Kluyveromyces lactis: one gene and its partner. The protein of the gene in region 1 interacts with the protein of each later gene in a pairwise test. Links are inferred from orthologs where the notes say so. Each region holds a gene or a part of one and is shown in the gene's direction. Other genes may lie near its edges.

Region 1 (10,905 bases):
TATAACTCAAAATCCATCCCATTGCTGAAAACCCACGTAAAACACCCAGAATATCATATAAGTTAATATATATAATTGGATGCTTAACAGTAGACGAAAAAAAATGGGGAATTAGATAGCGTACTAAAGAACACCGGGAGTAGCAACCAAAACCGTTCCAGGAAGGAAAACGACTTTTGTGGAAACACAGAAAGATGGACAAGTGAAAACATGCAAGGATAAAAAAGGAATCATATTTCAAGTCTTTTTCATCTCGAGTCCAATCTCACTGATAACAAAAGAAGATCCCCTGTCCCTCTCAAAACACATTAGGAGCTCAACGTATCAACAACGGTTGATCCAATTTCTTCTTTCCATTTATCCAGGGATAAAAAAACTTTTTTTTCTCATTTCTTAGTCCATTAATATATTACTGAATTTTTTTGTTCATATCAAAATCTATTCGGATCTTGGAGCTTCCTTGAAGGAGATGGCAGCTTCTTCACCCATAGCGGCAATGATAGTAACCATCAAGTCCTTACCTTCGTCGAAAGCAGCTTGGATGTTGTCACCCAATTCACCTTCTGGGGCTCTGACATCATCCTTGGTTTCACCGTCCATGGTCATCAAAGACAAGAAACCGTCATCGATATCCAACAATTGGAATTCAGTTCTCTTAACAACTGGGACTTCCATGTTGTGAGTAGATGGAGACAAATCTTCCAACTTCTTGTTGGTGAAGATATCGATGGCAACCAAATGGACCTTAGCGTGACCGTGCTTACCGGTCTTGGAAGTAGACATATCAACAATCTTACATGGTCTGCCCTTGATAACGACAAAACCGTTCTTTCTCAAAGCAGAACATTGCATTGGGAAAGTCAAGGAAGCACCAGCTCCAGCAGTTTCGAAAGTGTGTTCTTCTTCAGCCATGTTGTATATGTGTGATTTGTTTAATGCGTTTGGTCTACTATCTGTAGTGAAAACAAAATACAATTGAAACCAAGTAAAACTGAATAACTAATAACAGGATAAAGTTAAAACAGAAGAGAACAAGAAAAACTAATTAAACAAATGAAGAAGTTTACAAAATCATTCTGAAACATATACAAAATGGACTAAATACACTCTTGTAAATGAAAAAAAGCTTTAAATTCAACTTTCCATGAAGAAAAAAACTCTTATAATTTTGTTTCCAATATATATAAAATCGAATATCAAATTTTTTTTTCTTTCTCGTCGTCGAACTGAAAAAAAAAGTTTGAAAAATTTAGTTTCGATCATTTTGTACAGAGAGAGTGAAAGAGAGAGCGAGAGGGAAAAACACCGATGTATTTCATAGTCGTGTAAAGTTTGTAGAGTGTGAAAACAGAAAGAAAAAGCAATTCGTACGGTAGGTCTTTTTTTTCTACTTTCCCATCGTCTTCTCCCTTGCTATTCTAGTCTGCTATGGGGATTGTATGTTTTCCAAATGGCATATTCTAGTTTTTTAACGGCATTCACTGACAGATCGAAGTCAATAATATAGGCAACGTTGGCACATAATTGTATCGGTTGCGGAACGATTTGTATAATGTACAATTTTGATACGTAGTTGTGTATAATTCATCTTTGATGGCGAAGAGCTGGGTGGATTCGCCAGTCGACAGATCCAAAGAACCTGAGGCCGCATTGAGGGAAACAGGCACGGACCATGATATATCACCGTACACGGTAAGCTCACGGAATCCTCTCGTAAGCAGTAGGAAAAAGGGAAACCCAACGATGCCCGGGTAACATATACATATCACTATACACGTATTTATTTGGTCCTTTGATTGCCGCCTGGCATTCCCAGGCATTGGAATGAGATGAAACATGTCACGTGACTGTACGGGAAGAACAGACATCCGCTATCTTTCCAGCCTTTTTGTTCCGTTATGTTGAATGGCCGTAGTAGAGGTTCTGTTACAGTGCGAAAAGGCGGTAATTGAGCCGGGAAAAAGTAGAGTTGCTTCTTATCTACAACAACTTACGGTCCCCAACAGTGCCCTGAGAGTTGAATCACTGGTTCCCACACCTTATAACTGCGTGTAGGGTCTGGCAGTTCCTTTTTATTTACCTTTTCCAAATTTCAGTTTATACACTTTTTTTTTTTTTTTTTTTTTGGCGAAGAAATTGAAATGGATGAAAACAATGCAACTATACAATCGAAAATAGTAATATTTTATAAGTATTTATTATGGCACAGACCATATTATCTGTTGCAAACGCTAAAGGAAAAAGGTTTGTCATTTAAAGCAGCCGATTATTATTCCAGAAGGTGTCATAATACACAGGGTTAGCACCGCCCAGGATTAGTGAGAAAGGAAGAACACATAAGGATCTTTTGACGAGCGTGCATTTTATAGATCTATTGTGAAAAATTGCGGTATCAAAATTTCTTCGAACAATAAAATACAATCGCTAAAGCTGTGGAGGAATAAAAACATCCGGATCCATCGCTCTTTACTTTTGAAATCACTTCTATTCTCGATTCCTGGAAATTCAAATATTCTACACAACGTCATACAACCGTCATAGATGGGCAGCAAGGGTAAGAGCAGGTTCAATGCCTTGACTGCTGTGTCCGTGATAGGATCAGTGGTAACGGGGTTTCTTATAATTCGAATGATTTTCCCAATCATATGGCAGTTCGTACCGTTCGTCTCAAGTCCTGTAACTGGTAACAGGTTCAGAAATATACCTGGAGTGGAATATTACGATTTAATTAATTATCAGGGGAATGCCAATGGATGGCAGACCGGTGATAGGGTGGTGTTCTGTGTTCCTTTGAGAGATGCAGCCGCACATTTGGATATGTTCTTCGATACCTTGGATAAATTGACATACCCACATAACTTGATTGATCTTTCATTTTTGGTCAGTGATTCAAGCGATGATACCATGAAAACACTTCTTTCTCATTTGAGAAGAGCTCAATCAAACCAAGACAAATCGAGAAGATTCGCTAACATTGAAATTTTTGAGAAAGATTTCGGTCAAAGTGTGGGTCAATCGTTTTCTGATAGACACGGGTTTGCAGCTCAAGGCCCTAGAAGAAAATCCATGGCCAGAGCTAGAAATTGGCTTGGGTCAGCGGCTTTGAAGCCGTATCATTCTTACGTGTACTGGAGAGATGTCGACGTTCAAACTATACCGAATACTATTTTGGAAGATTTAATGCATCATGATAAAGACGTCATTGTTCCAAACGTCTGGAGACCTCTACCCGATTGGTTGGGAAATATACAACCATATGATTTGAACTCATGGGTTGAATCTGAGGGTGGATTACAATTAGCTGATTCTTTGGATGAAGATGCTTGTATCGTAGAAGGGTACCCGGAATACGCTACATGGAGAACACATTTGGCCTACATGAGAGACCCAAGCGGCGATCCCGAGGTCGAGATGGAACTAGACGGAATTGGTGGTGTTTCCATCTTATCTAAAGCTAAGGTCTTTAGAACAGGTTCTCATTTCCCTGCGTTCTCTTTCGAGAAACATGCTGAAACTGAAGCCTTTGGTAAATTATCACGTAGAATGCAATACAGTGTTGTCGGTCTACCTCATTATGTGATCTGGCACATTTACGAACCTTCAAGTGACGATTTGAAACACATGGCCTGGATGGCCGAGGAAGAGAAACGTCGGGTTGAAGAGCAAAAAATTCAAGAGTTCTATGCTAGAATTTGGGATATTGGTTTCGATGACGTGAGAGATGAGTGGGAGCTAGAAAGGTTACAAATTTTGAAGAACATTGATCCGAATGTCCTAGATAGGAAGATTCAAGTGGACTGGTCAGATGATGATGAAGCAGATGATGGTTCAAGGAACGGAGGAAATAATCAAGATTCACATGAAGTACCACTGGACTTTGATCCTGCTCATTAATAATTTTCTGTTTAGGCAGTGAAGAGTAAAGAAGATTATAAAACCCACAAATACATTCTTCACTAACGAGATATTTTTTAAAAAGATATCTTAACCATCTAATTTCAATTCTCATCGCTTCCATCCCCTATTATTATTCAATTATTAGGCAGACTGTAACACGTTGGAGTATCTAGTTGTACAATATGCACCTTAGATCATTATCGAGGTTTTTATCAATAGACTTTTTTTTACATTTACGTTTAAATGCATTATATACTAATATTGTACTTGCAATAATCTGTTCATTTTGTTTACTTCAAACCATATTACTACTGGTAACTATTACAGGCAAGCAAATACTGAAAACACGTTATCAAGCTGCATTAAGCTGTAATTTTCAGCGTATTCCGGAGTTCTGCATCTTGTCAGATACCTTCAGTTTTTTTTTTTGTCAACATCGAAAATGAAAGTTGAGAACAGTGAAAGAAATTGAAATTAATGCCAAATCAACTTGAATCTGATGGCTGGGTGGCAAAGAAGATAAAGTCAAGAAAACAACCGTTGAGACAAAGTCCAAGAAAATCACAAGCATAATGCTTATTAATTTTAAAGATTTCAAAAAGGAAAAACTACCTATTGAATTGGCGGATGATGCCACCATTTCACACGCCAAGGAATTGATCGCTGAACAAAAACAGTGCGATGCATCTCAAATAAAGTTGATCTACGCAGGTAAGATACTCCAGGATCCTAAGACCGTATCAGGATGCAATCTTAAGGAAGGGGATCAGGTTATATTCATGATTAGCAAAACTAAGAAAAAGGCTGATGTTAAGGTAACTGAATCCACAACTGAACCCCAAGATGAATCTCAAGCCACTGCTTCTGCAGAAACTTCTGCAGTTGCAAATGCACCTGCGGAAGCTACAACCACTGGTACAAGAACAGGTACTACTGCAGTTACACAAGAAGAAGGGACGACTGATGCTTCGTTTGTCACTGGTTCTCAACGTAACGAGACTGTGAACAGAATCATGGAAATGGGTTATGATCGTGAACAAGTAGAACGTGCGCTTAGAGCAGCATTCAACAACCCTGACCGTGCAGTGGAGTATTTGCTTATGGGTATTCCTGAAGCCAGTGAGCCATCGCAGCAACAAGCTGAAGCTGTAACTAGTGAAGCTGGGGCGAATGCTAATTCTGAAGTTGCAACAGACGTGCCATCACAATTCACTGAACATGAAGACAATTTATTTGCACAAGCAGAAGCCAATAATGGCGAGCAAGGTCATGAATCCGCTGCTGGTTTAGGTGGAGAAGAAATGGGCACAATCGGATTGACTATGGAGGACATTACACAACTTCGTGACGTTGTATCTGGGCGTCCAGAGGCTTTAATGCCACTTTTCGAGAGTCTAAGCACGCGTTACCCACATCTCCGTGAGACCATGCTGCAAGATCCACAAAGGTTTATCTCTTTGCTATTAGAAGCTGTTGGCGGTTCCCTAACCGATTCTTTGGGTGAAAATCTGGGAGATGACATAGCAGAAGGTGATCTAGGTGATTTCGGGGGACAAACTCAAGGCGCGCCTCCCAATGTTACTATCTCAGCAGAAGATGAAGAAGCTATCAATAGACTTTGCGAGTTGGGTTTTGAGAGGACCTTGGTGGTGCAAATCTACTTCGCATGTGACAAAAACGAAGAAATTGCTGCCAACATGCTATTCAACAATTACGCTGATTGAATGTAGTATGATTTTTCAATAAACCATCGTCTCTTTAGGCATGTAGGGAAAGAAGAATATGTTCAAAATAGAAAACAAAAATAATTATCTCTACCAAATTTGTTTAATAATATGGAATATGCGTACTCATATCTCCAGCATGTAGTGTTTGCCAATCCAAGTATGACCTCTATACCGTCAGATTTTCCTACTACAGCGAAGGCATCCCACATATTCATCTTCCAATTTTTGCACACATACGCACTCATAATGAGCAGTTATACTTAACCAACCTTAGTCAATCTGCAACAGACGGAGCGTGGTATGTTCGATCTCTTACTTCCAACTTCAAGTAGGATTTGTGTTACAATCAATCAGATATCCCCTTCATTAATTTTTTTAAATTTATTCATCATTACACTATATCCTTAGTCCCAATTCAGAGAACCAGTGTACCTTAGACATGTCTTATATAGATGAGAAGTTATTAAGCGCTTTATATTTTTCTGCATTAGATACCGGGTTGTTTCCAGGCCTCAATGCCAAGATGGTGCTGATGCCTACATCCAAAGCTGCGTCTAACTCCTTGTCATTGTCGCTAATAAACACAACATCACTTGCTGATGATGGAGGCACTCCAATGCTTTTGAGAATATTGGTGTAAGATTGAGGTTCAGTTTTCTTACCGGACGTGTTAATGTCGAAGTAGCCAGCAATGGATTTCGTTAAATCGATGTCCCCTTCTACGTGTTGGAACAAGAGTATTTGCGCCTTTACTGACCCTGAGGAGTATATGTAAACATTAGGAGCATGTCTCTGAATGAAATCAATTGCATCTGGATACACTGGCGCCTTGATCTCACCACTCTTGTAACCCTGCTCCCAAATATACCCTTGTAATTGCTTCAACACGGAATCCTTGATGTCGTTATTAACTAGCGATTCAATATGTTCATGCAAAGAAGAAGCATCTTGTGGGACAGGAAATTGGGCAAGTAAGTTCTGCAAAGTAGGGTCATTAGTCTTGACAAGAGATTCCACCTGTTTCAAGAAAAAAGGGTATAGCGTGTCTTTAACAAATGAGATAGGGCAAACCGTACCTTCAATGTCCAAGATATATTTCAATTGACTCATTGTCACTTAATTGAAATCTCAGTTTTCCAGTAAACGCAAATAACTGTGCCTTAAAGCTCTTTTTTCTAATGACTGTGATTAATTCCAAGCTCCTATTCACTAGGCGTACCGAACCAACATGGTCGTGAAGAACATCAGATTGGAATAGGTTTACAAAATATTCAGTTTTACAGTTTGCGAGATGAGATGCGGAAATCAGTCTTGCGAGAATGGAATGAAGCATAGGCAATGTTGGACAACGGCTACACCTTCCTAAAAAGGAAAAGAATGCAGCTTAGCTTAACTTGAAGGTTTCCCAAAGAGGATACTGGAGACGGCGCAAAAATTAAATAACTGAAAATATGCCACAAACCACGTGATCACGACGGAACGTTCCACACACGAACCCAGACATCACAATGCGCAGTATTTTCCTGCTTATCTATCGTAGCAAAACCGCGTTAGACAATCCTTTCGAGTGGATTGAATTTGGTAATCTAAGATTAAGGGTATCCATTTTGACAGGTTTCTCGGTAGGCCGATCTACAGTTGTCAAATGAAATGGCACTACTTCTATGTAGTTACATTATCTTGGGGCAAAATGTATAACGTGATTATTCTAAGATGGGAATAGGCTAGCGATCGTAAGGCTGAATTCTGTTTATTTACTTTATGTTGTTCTTAACGATTGAAAGACTGTATCTTTAGATCTTGTTCAGTTCGTAGTTGAACTGATGCGGAGGGGAGATACAACTAAGCTTCCTGCTGTTAGTATGGTCAGACGGTTTTTCGCTTTGTAGGGGTACATCGTAAACAATTCATTTTGTTAGAGTCGCTTGTGAGAGGATATTATTATGCATTATGCGTAGATACCTCGATTGCAATACAGATATCATTGGATAATCTAAACAAGGTAGCTCCTGCCGGTTGCTTACTTTAAGTTCCATTATGAGGGAATAGGATGATTCGAAGCAAGTATTAGTCTTGAAATTTATTTATAAAGGGCGTCTGTCAGAAGGATGGTTCTACTTATTCGTTGTTTGTTAACTCACATATTTCTCTATTACATCTTTGCATCCACTCAGCAAACAAAAACTCAAACCTCAAACAAGTTTTATTATAATACAAAGATATACTCATGACTGTCGAAAACGAAAATAACTCTTACGTCTTCCAAGGATACATCACTAAAAAGTTACCTCATGTCAAACGCGGTGAAGGATGCAGAATTGTCGTTGAAAAAGATGGCAAGTTACATGAAGATGTCTTCGATGGCATCACTGGTGCTGCTGTCGGGGCATTGGGATGGGGTGATGAGGATATCCATGGGATCATGACAGAAGCAGCCAAGAATCACACTTACACTTTCCCATCTTTAATCGGTAATTCACAATCTGAAGAATTGGCTAAGTTCTACATTGAAAACTCTCCAAAGGGCGCCTTTGAATCCGCTTTGTGGTGTTGCTCTGGTTCTGAAGCTAACGAAAATGCTATGAAAATCATTAGACAATACCAATTGGAGCGTGGCCAACCAAAAAGAACTAAGATCATCTCTAGAGAATCTTCTTACCATGGCTTCACTTTGGGTGCCTTGTCCATCTCTTCTAATCCAAGAGCCGAACAGTTCAAGGAAATCTTGATGGACCAAAAAGAATTATGCCTAAAGATGCCTGTATGCTACCCATACAGATTCATGAAGAAAGGTGAAACCGAAGAAGAATATTGTGCCAGATTGATTCATAGCCTGGAACAATTGATCTTAGACAACGACCCAGAGACTATCTCTGTGGTTCTCGTTGAGACATTGCCAGGTTCCTCCTTAGGTACTACTCCACCACCAAAGGGATATCTATCAGGTATCCGCCGTATCTGTAATAAGTACGACGTTGTGTTCATGCTCGATGAAGTCATGTGTGGTACTGGTAGAAGCAACCCTAACGGTAAGTTGAACTGTTGGGAGAATTTCTTGACAGCTGAAGAAGCCCCAGATATCCAAAGTGTTGGTAAGACCTTGGGTTCCGGATACGTTACCATAGCCGGTGTTTTAGTTGGTCCAAAAATCAAAAAAGCATACGCCGAAGGTTCGAACTGTATGATCGGTTCCCACACTTATGCATCTCACGGTTTTAACTGTGCCGTTGCCCTTGGTGTGCAAAAGAAGATCTTGGATAACGATTTAACTAAAAACATCTTTGAAAAGGGTAACTTGATGGGTCAGAAATTGAAGAAATCTCTGCTAGCTTACGATAACATCGTCGGTGATGTCAGAGGTATTGGTGGATTCTGGTCCTTAGAATTTGTCAAGGACAGAGAAACAAAGGAACCATTCCCATACAAGCTTGACGTTGGTCACCGTTTCCAAGATGTATGTTTCGAAAATGGAATTACTGTCATGGGTATGCAAGGAAACATCGACGGTGTTTCTGGTGATATTGCTTTGTTGGCACCATCATTCATCATCACCGAAGACGATGTCTCCACCATTGTGGAAAGAGTTACCAAGTCTGTTGATGATATGACCGTTCTACTAAAGGCTGAAGGCCATTTCTGAGAAGGCTTCAGCTGTGCTAAGTATTCTAACGACTATATAACGGCACATACGTAGACGTATTGTGCCACCTCTTCTCTGTACTTGTTCTTTAAAACTCCATGTCTCATCATAACAGTTATGTGTCAAGCAAATCAGTTCCTTTTTTCCTAATATTTTTTTGACACTTTGAACCTTTAAGCTGTTTTTATTCGCGTAAATGTATATTATTAACAAAGTGATCGAAACTAAAATATCAGCAGGAAAGTCAAAAATAGAAGGCCGAGTTAAGGGTCCTACATTAACATCAACGTAGTAAGATTTTCTTAGTAACTCACAAATTCCGGCCCAGTAAGTAGATATATATATGTACGTCTTTTTTCGGCATTGTAGAGCATCTGCTGTAAGCTTATCAGCTGTCATTACTTTCTGCTCGGTCAGCATTGATGAAAACCCGGCTCATATCTCATTAACTTCGCCTCGCTCCTAATGTAAAGATATATACCTAAGAAATAATAAGGAATGATAAGTGAATCTATCCAAAAACCTGGTCCAACTATTCTTCAACCTAGTTTTCTTTCACTGTGTGAGTCACACTATTATACCAAATACCCATATGTAAGTTACATCTTTTTTCAGTGTCACTATCAAAACTCCTGTATTGTTATCCATAAACTTTAGAAATACAGTACAGTGCGTATCCCGATGTAGACAGAATTTCCGGTACTCTACCTCCAACTTAATGCCATATGCCTGCGTATCGTGACGCTTTCGACCGAAATGAATTTCGGGATAATAGCTACATACATATATACATCTCATATCTTCCACCGAACAAGGTTGGAGATTGTTAACTCCCAGTTCGTCACTCGGACTTTTTTATGCATGTTCGGGATTAGACAGGAGGCTTTCACTATGTGTTATATCAAATGTTCTGGTTTCTCTTTGTCGCTATATAAAGCAATAAATTGGTTTGAAATCAAAAATTCCATCATAAGAAAAACGTCCCTTTATTTCTATAGGAGACAAAACTCCATTATATAGGGAGAACACAGGAACGGTTTTTTTCTAACTTCACAGATACAATAGATTAACTGAGTCATATAACAAGGTGTGTTAGTTATATTGCGTATACATTGTTTCAGAAGTTACAGTATCCGGTTAGCGTTGTGTGGAAAGTTAGATATTATTTTACCGCTTATAAGTGAAGAACCTCAGAATTTAATAGGATCAGAAACAGAGGGATATATACACTAATATCTAAACCAGCCATGGGAAATGTTCCAGGTAAAATTGATAGCCCTCAAGACCCTGCAAATAGGAAGCAGCAACGGTCAGAGTCTTTAAATTTTGGATCTCAGGGCCCAAAAAATCTTAACCGGAATAGGAGGGCTACTTCCTTGGTAGGAAATTTGTTAAGTGCTAGTGGGAGAGCGAGATCAGACTCTTATAATAGTGCTAACGGTTACAACGGCAACAGTCCGAATCCGTACAAGAAGAAGTCTTTGAAGGAGAAGGAGAAGCTCAAAGAGAAGCATGCTAGACAACTTGTGGTCAAGTACAACGAAACTGTGGATGGTGGGTTTTTAGCACCTTTTGGATGTTATAATTTCGATAAGTTGGACTATGAAGCAGATATAGTTAAAAATTTAATTATAGAAAGGA
Region 2 (9,888 bases), about 1.1 Mb from region 1:
AGGGTCTTGACCCAACAGTGGCTATGACCGGTGAATTGACTTTGACTGGTAAAGTTTTGAGGATCGGTGGGTTAAGAGAAAAGGCCGTAGCAGCCAAGAGATCTGGTGCCAAGACTATCATTTTCCCCAAAGACAATTTGTCAGACTGGGCTGAGCTTCCAGAGAATGTGAAGGAAGGATTGGAACCTTTGGCCGCAGACTGGTACGAAGATGTTTTCCAAAGACTATTCGGAGACGTAGACACTAACAAGGGTAACACCGTTTGGTCAGAAGACTTCAAGAAGATTGATGAAAAACGCAACAAGGAAACTAAATAAATCAAACCCAATGTCATTTATCTTATTTAGTCCCATGTAAATATATACACTACTGTAAACTAAACACAGACGAATTTGATACGAATCCACCGCCGAATGAACCCCAGGTACTACCATTCTACTTAAACAACGATTATTTGGATATACAGACAAAACGTACACGAATTCCCCATGCGGCCTTCAAATAAGTATAGAGAATTTATAGATATTAACAACATCGACAAACTGGCCAAATATAACGACATGTCAACTCGTTATTCAATAGTACGTTTTATCGGGCTTCTTTCTGCTGACGCTTTTATATAGTTCCCTTCACGTTATGGAATGATCAGGCTCAATATAAAAAAAAAAAAAAATGGAACGATGAAGCCTTTCACTAGTAACATTAACAGAAGTAAGTATTGAACCACAGAGGCCAGATTCGATCTTTTGAAGCTGACAACCTAGTTATCACTATGTTCAGAACTTTGGTTCTTGGAGGCAGAGGCCTCAGCGGTATTCGCATAAGTTCCCGTGGTTTAATGACCCGTTCAATATCAAATTTGGTAAAGACAAAGAATGTGATTCCCACTGTTGCTCTTAAGAGAGCTTTGCCAACAGTTTCAATGGCGTATTTCCATACCAGATCTATTGTCAGGGAAGCTGTACAGGTATCGCAAACTACTGGTAATGGTATAACAACAGCTACGGCATCCACGGCTAAACAAGCTAAGTCAAAACCCTTGCTAAATTCATCAAAAGTGGTAGGGTACTGGTTAGTTGGTACTTCAATTCTTGTGTTTGGTATTGTCGTTCTCGGGGGGTTAACCAGACTTACTGAATCTGGGTTATCTATTACAGAATGGAGACCTGTCGCTGGTACTTTACCACCCTTGAACCAGCAGGAATGGGAAAATGAATTCACCAAGTATAAAAGTTCTCCAGAATTTAAACAGTTGAACTCTCATATTACCTTGGATGAATTCAAGTTCATTTTCTTTATGGAATGGATTCATAGACTATGGGGCCGTGCTATCGGTGCTGTATTCATTCTGCCTGCTGTCTACTTTGCTGTCGCTAGGAAGACATCACCTCATGTTAATAAAAGATTGTTTGGTTTATCAGCACTACTAGGTTTACAAGGTTTTATCGGTTGGTGGATGGTCAAGTCTGGTTTGGATGAAACACAATTGAAGGAAAGAAAGTCCAAACCGACTGTCTCACAGTACAGATTGACTACACATTTGGGTACCGCTTTCATGTTATATATGGGTATGCTCTGGACCGGGTTTGAGATCTTGAGAGAGGCCAAATGGGTTAAAAACCCATCCGAAGCTCTTGTTTTATTCTCAAAACTAGATAACCCAGCACTAGCTCCATTGAGAAGATCTGCACTTGGTCTACTAGCTTTGACCTTTGTTACTGCGATGTCTGGGGGTTTGGTTGCTGGTCTGGATGCTGGTCTAATCTACAATACTTTCCCTCACATGGGTGATGATTGGGTACCAAGTAAACGTGAATTAATCGACGAAAACTTTGCTAGAAAAGAAGACAAGAGTGATATGTTTTGGAGAAATATGTTGGAAAACCCAACTACGGTTCAACTGAATCATAGGATTTTGGCTACAACCACTTTCTTCGCTGTGTTTGCATTCCACATGTACTGTAACAGAAACAAGGCTATCATTCCTAAACAAGTTCTACGTACTGCTCATGGTATGATGGGTCTTGCCACTTTACAAGTCACTCTAGGTATTTTTACCTTGTTATATTTGGTTCCAATCCCTCTAGCTTCTGCTCACCAAGCTGGTGCCTTGGCATTATTGACAGGTTCATTGTTGTTTGCTTCTCAATTGAGAAAACCAAGAGCCGCAATTAGAATCCTCACCGGTGGACTCTATACACAACAGCAAAAGGCCTCTTCTAAAATCTTAACTGAGGCTTCCAAACTTGCGAAGTGATCTTGGGAACTACGAATGGATCCTTTTTTTTCAATTATTTTCTTGTTTGTCCCCTTTACTTCCTATTTATTATAAACACTGGGCAGCACATTAAATGTTATCTTGTAAATATATATACTCAAAAGTTGCTACCAGTGAACTCCTACCTTACTTTAAAGTGTACTGTTTATACACAGCAATTACAATGCCTCTAATTATTACTTCGACATAAACCTTTTCTCATTATTGATGACAACTTCCATGTTAGTATCCGACATTCTCCAAAGAACGAACATAAATAACGTTCTATGGGGGCTAAATAAATCACCACAGAGCTCAACCACGTCTTCATCGTGGATTTTCCACTTGAAACTCTTGTGCTTTATTTTTGATTTCTTGATAAGAGTCCGCTTGCTGTGAAGCTTCTTTAAGATCTCTGGTCGTTGTTCCAAGTACCTTGAACATCCCCTTGCGATTCCCAAATCTTCAGCTGCAAATACATTTAAGCGATGTAAACCTGTAACTAAAAACATCTTCGCTGACCACGGTCCGATACCCTTGATATTTGCGACTAGCTCTTCGATGATTTTATCATCGTCTGCAAAGGCAAAGAGATCTTTTATAGAATCCTCGTTATTGAAAAAATATCCAACCAAGGACTCAATATACATCAGCTTCCTTTGAGATAACCCACATTCCTTAAAAGCTTGTTTCTTCTTCGAGTCTTGGAATGTTTCGTGCAGTGTCTGATAATTAGGAAAAGTTCCATCAAACATATCTACGATCCTGCCTCGAATATTCTTCGCAGCTGCACCACTGATCTGCTGTGAAATGATGCTACCTGCCAATTTATTAAAATAAAGGTCCATCGAATCCTTGGCCACATTTTCCTTGAGAAACATGGTGAAAGGACTATGCTCAATGATTTCTTTTAATGTGGGGTCAATAGTTAAGATATGTTCTATTCCATCACGGAATGAATCAATGTGCTGATCCAGATATTCTTGGTCCACATCCACCTTGAGGATATCATCCCTTGTCCTTTTCATTTCAATATAGCCTTGGCGACACTTTTGTCCGTTCTTTCTTTCTTTACTTTCGAGAAGTTGTTTTAAGGTTCTCTGACATATAAGATTCCTTTATTAATCAAGATCAACTTTAATTATCAATTATCACTTTATTCAATGGAAAATAAACACTAAAACTGAAAGTTACCATTACTAGGCAACCGTATCAGAGATGAACATCACCGTCACTTATGAGCACTCTGATGATGTCCTTGGACCTTTTGAATTGAGTGAAGATATGTCGCTTATCGACCTTTTCGCATTGATAGACTTTAAAGAGGAATCTCAGATCATATTTCACAACATGAAGCAACTTGACACTAAGAACACGAATATAACTTTGAAAGAGGCTGGCTTACAAAACCATGATATGCTTTTGATAAAACCTAAGAATCCCGCTAGTTCCCAGGCAGCTTTCGGTCAACCTCAGGAGATCGATTTGACGGATGAACAGTACATTGAACAGTTCAGGACTTTCCTATTAGAGAATCCAAGTATGGCTCAAGAGATGGGTCTTCCAAACTTAGAACATATGATAAATAATAAAACCCAATTTCATCAACTACTAGGTCCGGTGTTACTTTCCAGACGTGGTGAAAGATCAAATAACCCATTCGGTATCCCAAATTCTGAATACTCAAGATTAATGAGCAACCCTGATGATCCTGTGAATCAAGCACGGATTTCGGAGTTGACCAACCAACATGAGATTGATGAGCAATTACGATATGCGATGGAATATACTCCGGAGTCTTTTACCCAAGTGTCAATGTTGTATATAAAATTAGAAATCAATGGCCACCCAGTCAAAGCGTTCGTTGATTCTGGTGCTCAACAGACTATAATGTCAACAAAATTGGCAGAAAGAACAGGGTTGACCTCTCTAATTGATAAAAGGTTCAGTGGTATAGCTCAGGGTGTTGGTACGGGCAAAATTCTCGGGAGAATCCATACGACTCAAATCAAAATCCACGACGTGTTCTTGCCTTGTAGTTTTACCGTACTTGACACTCCAATGGAAATGTTGTTGGGTTTGGACATGTTAAGAAGACATCAGGCATCTATAGATTTGAAGAACAATGTATTGAGAATATCAGATGTTGAGACCCCATTCTTGCCTGAATCTGAAATTCCAAAGGACTCCCTTCATGCACTGACAACTCCAGCAGCTGACGAAGTAAGAAAGGCAGCGTTGAAGAGGGACTCATCTTCAGGAAAAAATGCTATGACTGGCGATGCAAACAAAGTCAAGCAGCCAAAGATTCCAAGTTCTACCACAAATCAAACTGTTCCATCGTTCGCAGAATCAGACATAAAAAAATTAGTGGATCTTGGTTTCTCTAGGAAAGAAGCTATCAATGCATTGAATAAAACTGGTGGAAACGTGGACTATGCAGCTTCCCTTTTGTTTCAATAAGCAGGTATTGACCCAAAACTCTGCGCGCAGACTATTCTCTCTATTAATACTGAAAGAGTATGTAATGTACACAAAGTAGTATCAGATAATATAACAATCAATCATCATGGAACCTAAGTGTTGGCAAAGGATCTTTTGAAGCGGATAGCTGCGGTGTTAGATCGAGGTTCTCATCGCTCTTTCCGTTCTGATGTTTCGCACCTTTATCCTGTTTCGAACCCGTGGCCCCATTGTGCTTAGATCTGACTATTATCCAAGACACTTTGTCCGAAGGTTTCACACCTTGAATATCTATCTCCAGATTGAAGTTCTCGATGAAGTTTCTTTCATGTATATTTATGCTAGACGTGTATGTCATGTACTCGTTGAATATCGATACAGTGCTCCAATAAGAGAGCTTTCGTAGACATGCTATGACTAGCGATGTGACTTCCGTGTTCGAGTTCGAACAATGGATGTAACAAGGATAATGGTTCTTGTCGATCAAAAACTTGATACATTCTATTACCACATCGTACTCTATAGGTACAGGTTTCTTCTTCCTTTTCACCTTGGGTTCGTCTTTATTCTTTGTCTTTGTCTTCTGCTTCTTGTCATCCGCACATTGTATAAAAACCGTCTCAATACCCTCCACTTCACAGAACTCAGCTAAAATAGGGTCATTAGTAATCGGTTCAGGTACCAAAGATATAATATAGTTGAGTCGAAGGGTCCTCAAAAACGGTAGGTTAATTTCTGCCGGATATGATCCTCTGTAAAATCTCGGCTGAACACAGCTAAACTGTAAGGGAGTCACCAATGACATTGAGTATTCTATAGTTGCTGCTATCCCCAAATAATACCCAAACTTGAGCAGAGACAAGATGAGGAGGCTTCTTCCTACTGTATTTTAGACATGTTGAAACTGTTCTTCTTTGCAATGAAAAGGTCCAATAATAAGGAAAATCATGAAACATTTGGAGTTTGAACCTTTAAAGGATTGATCTTCAAGAAGGGGAGGCGCAACAAAAGAGTTCTCGCGAGAAGTCTGTCGATAAGCGTCGAGCGTATCTAGCCAGACGTGTTATTTGGTGACATTAAGGTACTTTGGTAATAGCTAGCTTAGCATTAGTCGTGAAAAGCGTCTTTAGCGATGGATTTCTTATATGAAGAGACTGCAACAGAGACTGCAGATGCCGTTAAGGTGACAAAACATGATGATAAGACTGATGAGGCGTTTCAGAAGTTCGAGGACCAAGTGGATGAACAGCTCCAGAAAACTTCAAAGGCTATTTTAGGTTTTGTTAAAGAGAAGGACTCTTTGAATTTCCAAATCCCTGAGAATTTGGGCGGTACCGTTACAAATAAGGCTCAAGAGATGTTGGGGAAATTGGATGACAACTTGGAGAAAGTTGAAGAGTTGACGCAAGGGTACTGGAACACTGTTTCTAAAAAATCATTCTGGTCGTCCATGGCGAATACCATATCTACTCAGTTTCAAGAAGTGCTTGATTTCGATGCCAAAGAGGCAGAGGGATCTAACAAGGATACCGCTTTTAGCTCAATTACAGACACAAAGTTGAAACAACTTGCCATAGACAAGTCAATATATTTGAAATATAATGCAGCAAGCTTACCGAAGGATTTTGTAATAAAGGAACATTTTGAAGAGATTCAAGAGTTATTAAACAAGGATTCGGACTTGAAAAGCTTACACGAAGACGTTGTCCCAGCACCTCTTGATGATGCAACATTTTGGAATATTTACTTCACTAAGAAGGCGGAGATTCTAAATTTGGCCTCAAAGAAGCGTGACTTATTAAGTGCCAAGGAAGATCTAGGTAAAGAACAAGCAATAGGATGGGATGATGAGGAAGAGGATTCAGAAGAAGAAATTATTCCTTCTAAAACTGCAAAGGCTAAACAAGACTCCAACACTGGTAAGGAGACTATTTCTTCTGCTAAAACTGAATCAAAAGCTATCAAGCAAGAGGAAAATGACGACGAAGAAGATGATGATTGGGAGTAGTTATTGGAACCGATCTGGTGTTTCTTCGAACACTGATTACATTTTGTATTTCCCTACTTAATTAATTATTATACTTACATGTTAACTCTACGGTAAAACAGCACATATGCATTAGGTGTGATATATTCGTCCTTCCTTCTAATTTTTCTCCAACTGACATCATCAAAAGAACACCAACCAACTCTGCCTTTGTCCACAAAGGAGGTGTAATGGCCACCATAGAGCGTGCCAGAATGTGACGCCACAGCAAAGAGTCTATAGTTGAAGGGTGGCTTTTGACCACGCAATGGCAACGAAACCCCGTTATCCTTTGGCATTTCTCCATTGTAATCGTCGATCCAAAAGCCAGTTAAGTCTAGTTCATTTGGATAATTGACAAAAACGTTGTTTTTATTCATCATATTATCAAATCTTTTTAAGTGAATGATTAAATTATTAGGCAAACGTGTGATGATGATTTGTTTGGTTGATGGTTGTCTCTGTTTACAATAAGGACAATACCACAATTCGTCTTTTTCCAAAGTTTCTAGCTTGGTAAACTCTTTGAAACAGTCGTAAATTGTGCAAGATCTTGCTCTGGGAACTGGTACTGAAAGAACAGAGAATGCTTGATAAGTTGTGGACGTATGTGCACAAATTTTACATCTGAGCTGCGATGCATATTGGCCTTGGAACAAATCCACGATGACACTGAAATCTGTCGTCAAATATCTCTCCCATTCGATGGCTGAAGCAATTCTCATCGGCATGGTTTCTCTCATTTTCTCAGCTTCTGGACTTAATTCCTTAAGAGGAGGATTGGTACCACATTGGTTCAAATCTTCATGTAAACCATCTAAGAGAAATTGGCAAAATTCTTGACAGTCCTGCTGCTGCTTGCCTTTAAACAGTGAATTTATCGAGCCACACGCCAATTTGAATTGAGTTGGATGCACAGCCGTTGACTCCATATTAGTATTGTTATAAGCCTGTAGTTTCCCCTGTTGATACATCTTCTGTACTAGTTGTGAAAAATAATTCGCTAATAAACCCTTGGAACCTAATCGACTGTTCACATTGACATGTTTCCTATATGAATTGGTCAGAAATATGTATGATAGCTCATGACAACCGAGAAGACATTGAATTATGCAGTTCAAATAGCATGAATTTCCTAAATTCACTAAACCAATCGCGAAATCCAGATTGATACTAGGATGACCAGATTTAGCAACAGAGTTATTCCCGTTTGAACTCACAATGCAATTTGTACCGTTCGCATGATTATTACTTTCCTGTCTGTGGTTTTTGATTCCATTTGGTTGAAGTTTGTAAGGTTCAGAATTTCCTTCATCGTTCTGCTGTAACGCTTTCGTTAAATTACTGGTAGATGGCAACAACTGATTAGGCACCAATCCAGCAGTTTTAATACTAGCTCCATTAGTAAGGAATGGAGCATCAGGATAATGTGTGAAACTTGTAGTTTGAGAGTGACTCGGTGAATTGGCTTTTTCAATATTATTATTGTTTGATAATGCCATAGGGTGAAAATTGTGTTCCACGGGCTTCGTACGAATATCAGATATTGCCGATTCCATTATTTTTTTCAACTCCATGGGGTACTTCTCCTTCCAAGCGTTTACGCCATTTTGCAAAACTATTACCTTAGTATGATGTAAAGGTTTATCAAATGATCTATTGCAAAGAATGTCTTGTAAAACTTCTAACTGTTGCCAGTAATATTTCGTATGCTCATCAGTGTCTGTGTAAAGCACAATAAGTCGAAACTTATCACGATTCTTGAAAAGATCAACTTCTCTATCCGATGCAGTGATTAATGACTTACGCAAGATATCAGAATCCGTGTATGATTCTTTGAACGAGATCGGTTCGATGCAAATAACGTTGTTATGCTTTATATGACCATCGTTAAAATCCATCCTTGGTCTAATATCAACGAGTAAAATGCCAGATGAGTCGTTATCATGCCGTATTAGTGAATGCAACTGCGAAATTGACACAAATTCCCCATTCTCATAAGAGTGTTGAGTACCGTCATGAGCAGCTTCCTCACTGTGATTTTTGATAAACCTCTTCACTTCCCCTATCTGTTTATCATTCGCTAGTGCAGAAACCAATCTACTATAAATTTCCAGCAATTCTTTATCTTTTGAATCCTTCTTACTATTCATCTTGATCTGTTGAAACTCGGCCAACCCCGGAATAACCTGAGATGCGATCTGTGACACAATCTTATAGTAAACGTACAATGTCTCATTCAACTGATATATCTGCGATGGTGGTGTGTCCTTGGAAGCACATGAAAGTTTTCGCAGCTCGCTCTTGTATATTGACAACGTGTCTATACATTTCGCCAAGAGCTGCTTGAAATGTTCACCTTCAACATCCTCAGCCACAACCTTCGACGCTACAGCTGAAAGCTGCGAAAGTGATTTACAAAACAACTTGGAGTTATGTTCGAGCATCGTGGTTGGTGAAAAGAGTGTAAAATCCCAGTTCAATAACTAAAACCTTCGAGGTTTCTTTTGAAATCACAAAAACTGAATCTGATCCGTTATCGTTGATGCTCTTGTTAATAGAAATACAGTCCGCCTCACTCAGTAATCGGAATCAAACATAAAAAGTTCTCTCGATGCGAATAAGCACACAAATACCAAATGTATCAACAATACCAAGTAAACCAGAAACAAACCTTTGGTCTATAATGACAGGAACTTTCTCATTAACAGTACTGAACCCTTTGTAAGTATGTATCCAATTTGTCAAGATTGTTTATGTGGATCTAAATCGAGGTTGCAATGGGTGGGAAAATGAAGAAAAGGTTAGTCACGTGATTCCACGTGACTATGCCCACATATTTTGTCCGACGTCTTCAACGTCCGGAACGGCATAGACATGCTTCGAGGAAGACATACTGTTGTCAGTTTGTTCAAACATATATGATATTAGTACCATTATATATGATTATCTAGTCATTGCTCTTGTTCTTACATAAATAAGGCCAGGTCTCATGGACCTGTAGGCGTTTTGAAGATTGTAGTTGTCGCATGTATTTTTTGAATATCCTAGGGTGCATTTCGTTTAGCCTTAATAGACACCGTCATCTGCTCTATGCTGTTTGATTGGGGCATCCTTACCCTTCTGCTTCAAGGATTTTAGA

What was found. The genes of interacting proteins can lie anywhere in the genome.
Region 2: the proteins of RAD23 (region 1) and DDI1 interact in a two-hybrid assay, tested with the Saccharomyces cerevisiae proteins (2 studies listed by BioGRID). The link is inferred for Kluyveromyces lactis from reciprocal best matches to the Saccharomyces cerevisiae genes RAD23 and DDI1.

The regions. Positions count from the first base shown.
Region 1 is NC_006041.1:1,969,351-1,980,255, reverse strand, and holds RAD23 (Rad23p), read left to right. Parts: upstream 1-4,469; coding exon 4,470-5,621; downstream 5,622-10,905. Other genes in the region: KLLA0_E22199g (uncharacterized protein), read right to left, coding at 439-912; KLLA0_E22177g (uncharacterized protein), read right to left, coding at 1,479-1,868; ANP1 (Anp1p), read left to right, coding at 2,542-3,894; putative acireductone synthase UTR4, read right to left, coding at 6,069-6,734; KLLA0_E22089g (uncharacterized protein), read left to right, coding at 7,852-9,264; SIP5 (Sip5p), read left to right, coding at 10,512-10,905. UniProt on the Saccharomyces cerevisiae protein: Plays a central role both in proteasomal degradation of misfolded proteins and DNA repair.
Region 2 is NC_006041.1:905,980-915,867, reverse strand, and holds DDI1 (Ddi1p), read left to right. Parts: upstream 1-3,475; coding exon 3,476-4,720; downstream 4,721-9,888. Other genes in the region: ATP-dependent Lon protease PIM1, read left to right, coding at 1-317; COX15 (Cox15p), read left to right, coding at 773-2,257; MAG1 (DNA-3-methyladenine glycosylase II), read right to left, coding at 2,455-3,285; OCA6 (protein-tyrosine-phosphatase), read right to left, coding at 4,818-5,525; DOS2 (Dos2p), read left to right, coding at 5,853-6,728; KLLA0_E10275g (uncharacterized protein), read right to left, coding at 6,803-9,193; FMP16 (Fmp16p), read right to left, coding at 9,816-9,888. UniProt on the Saccharomyces cerevisiae protein: Aspartic protease. Appears to act as negative regulator of constitutive exocytosis. May act at the level of secretory vesicle docking and fusion as a competitive inhibitor of SNARE assembly.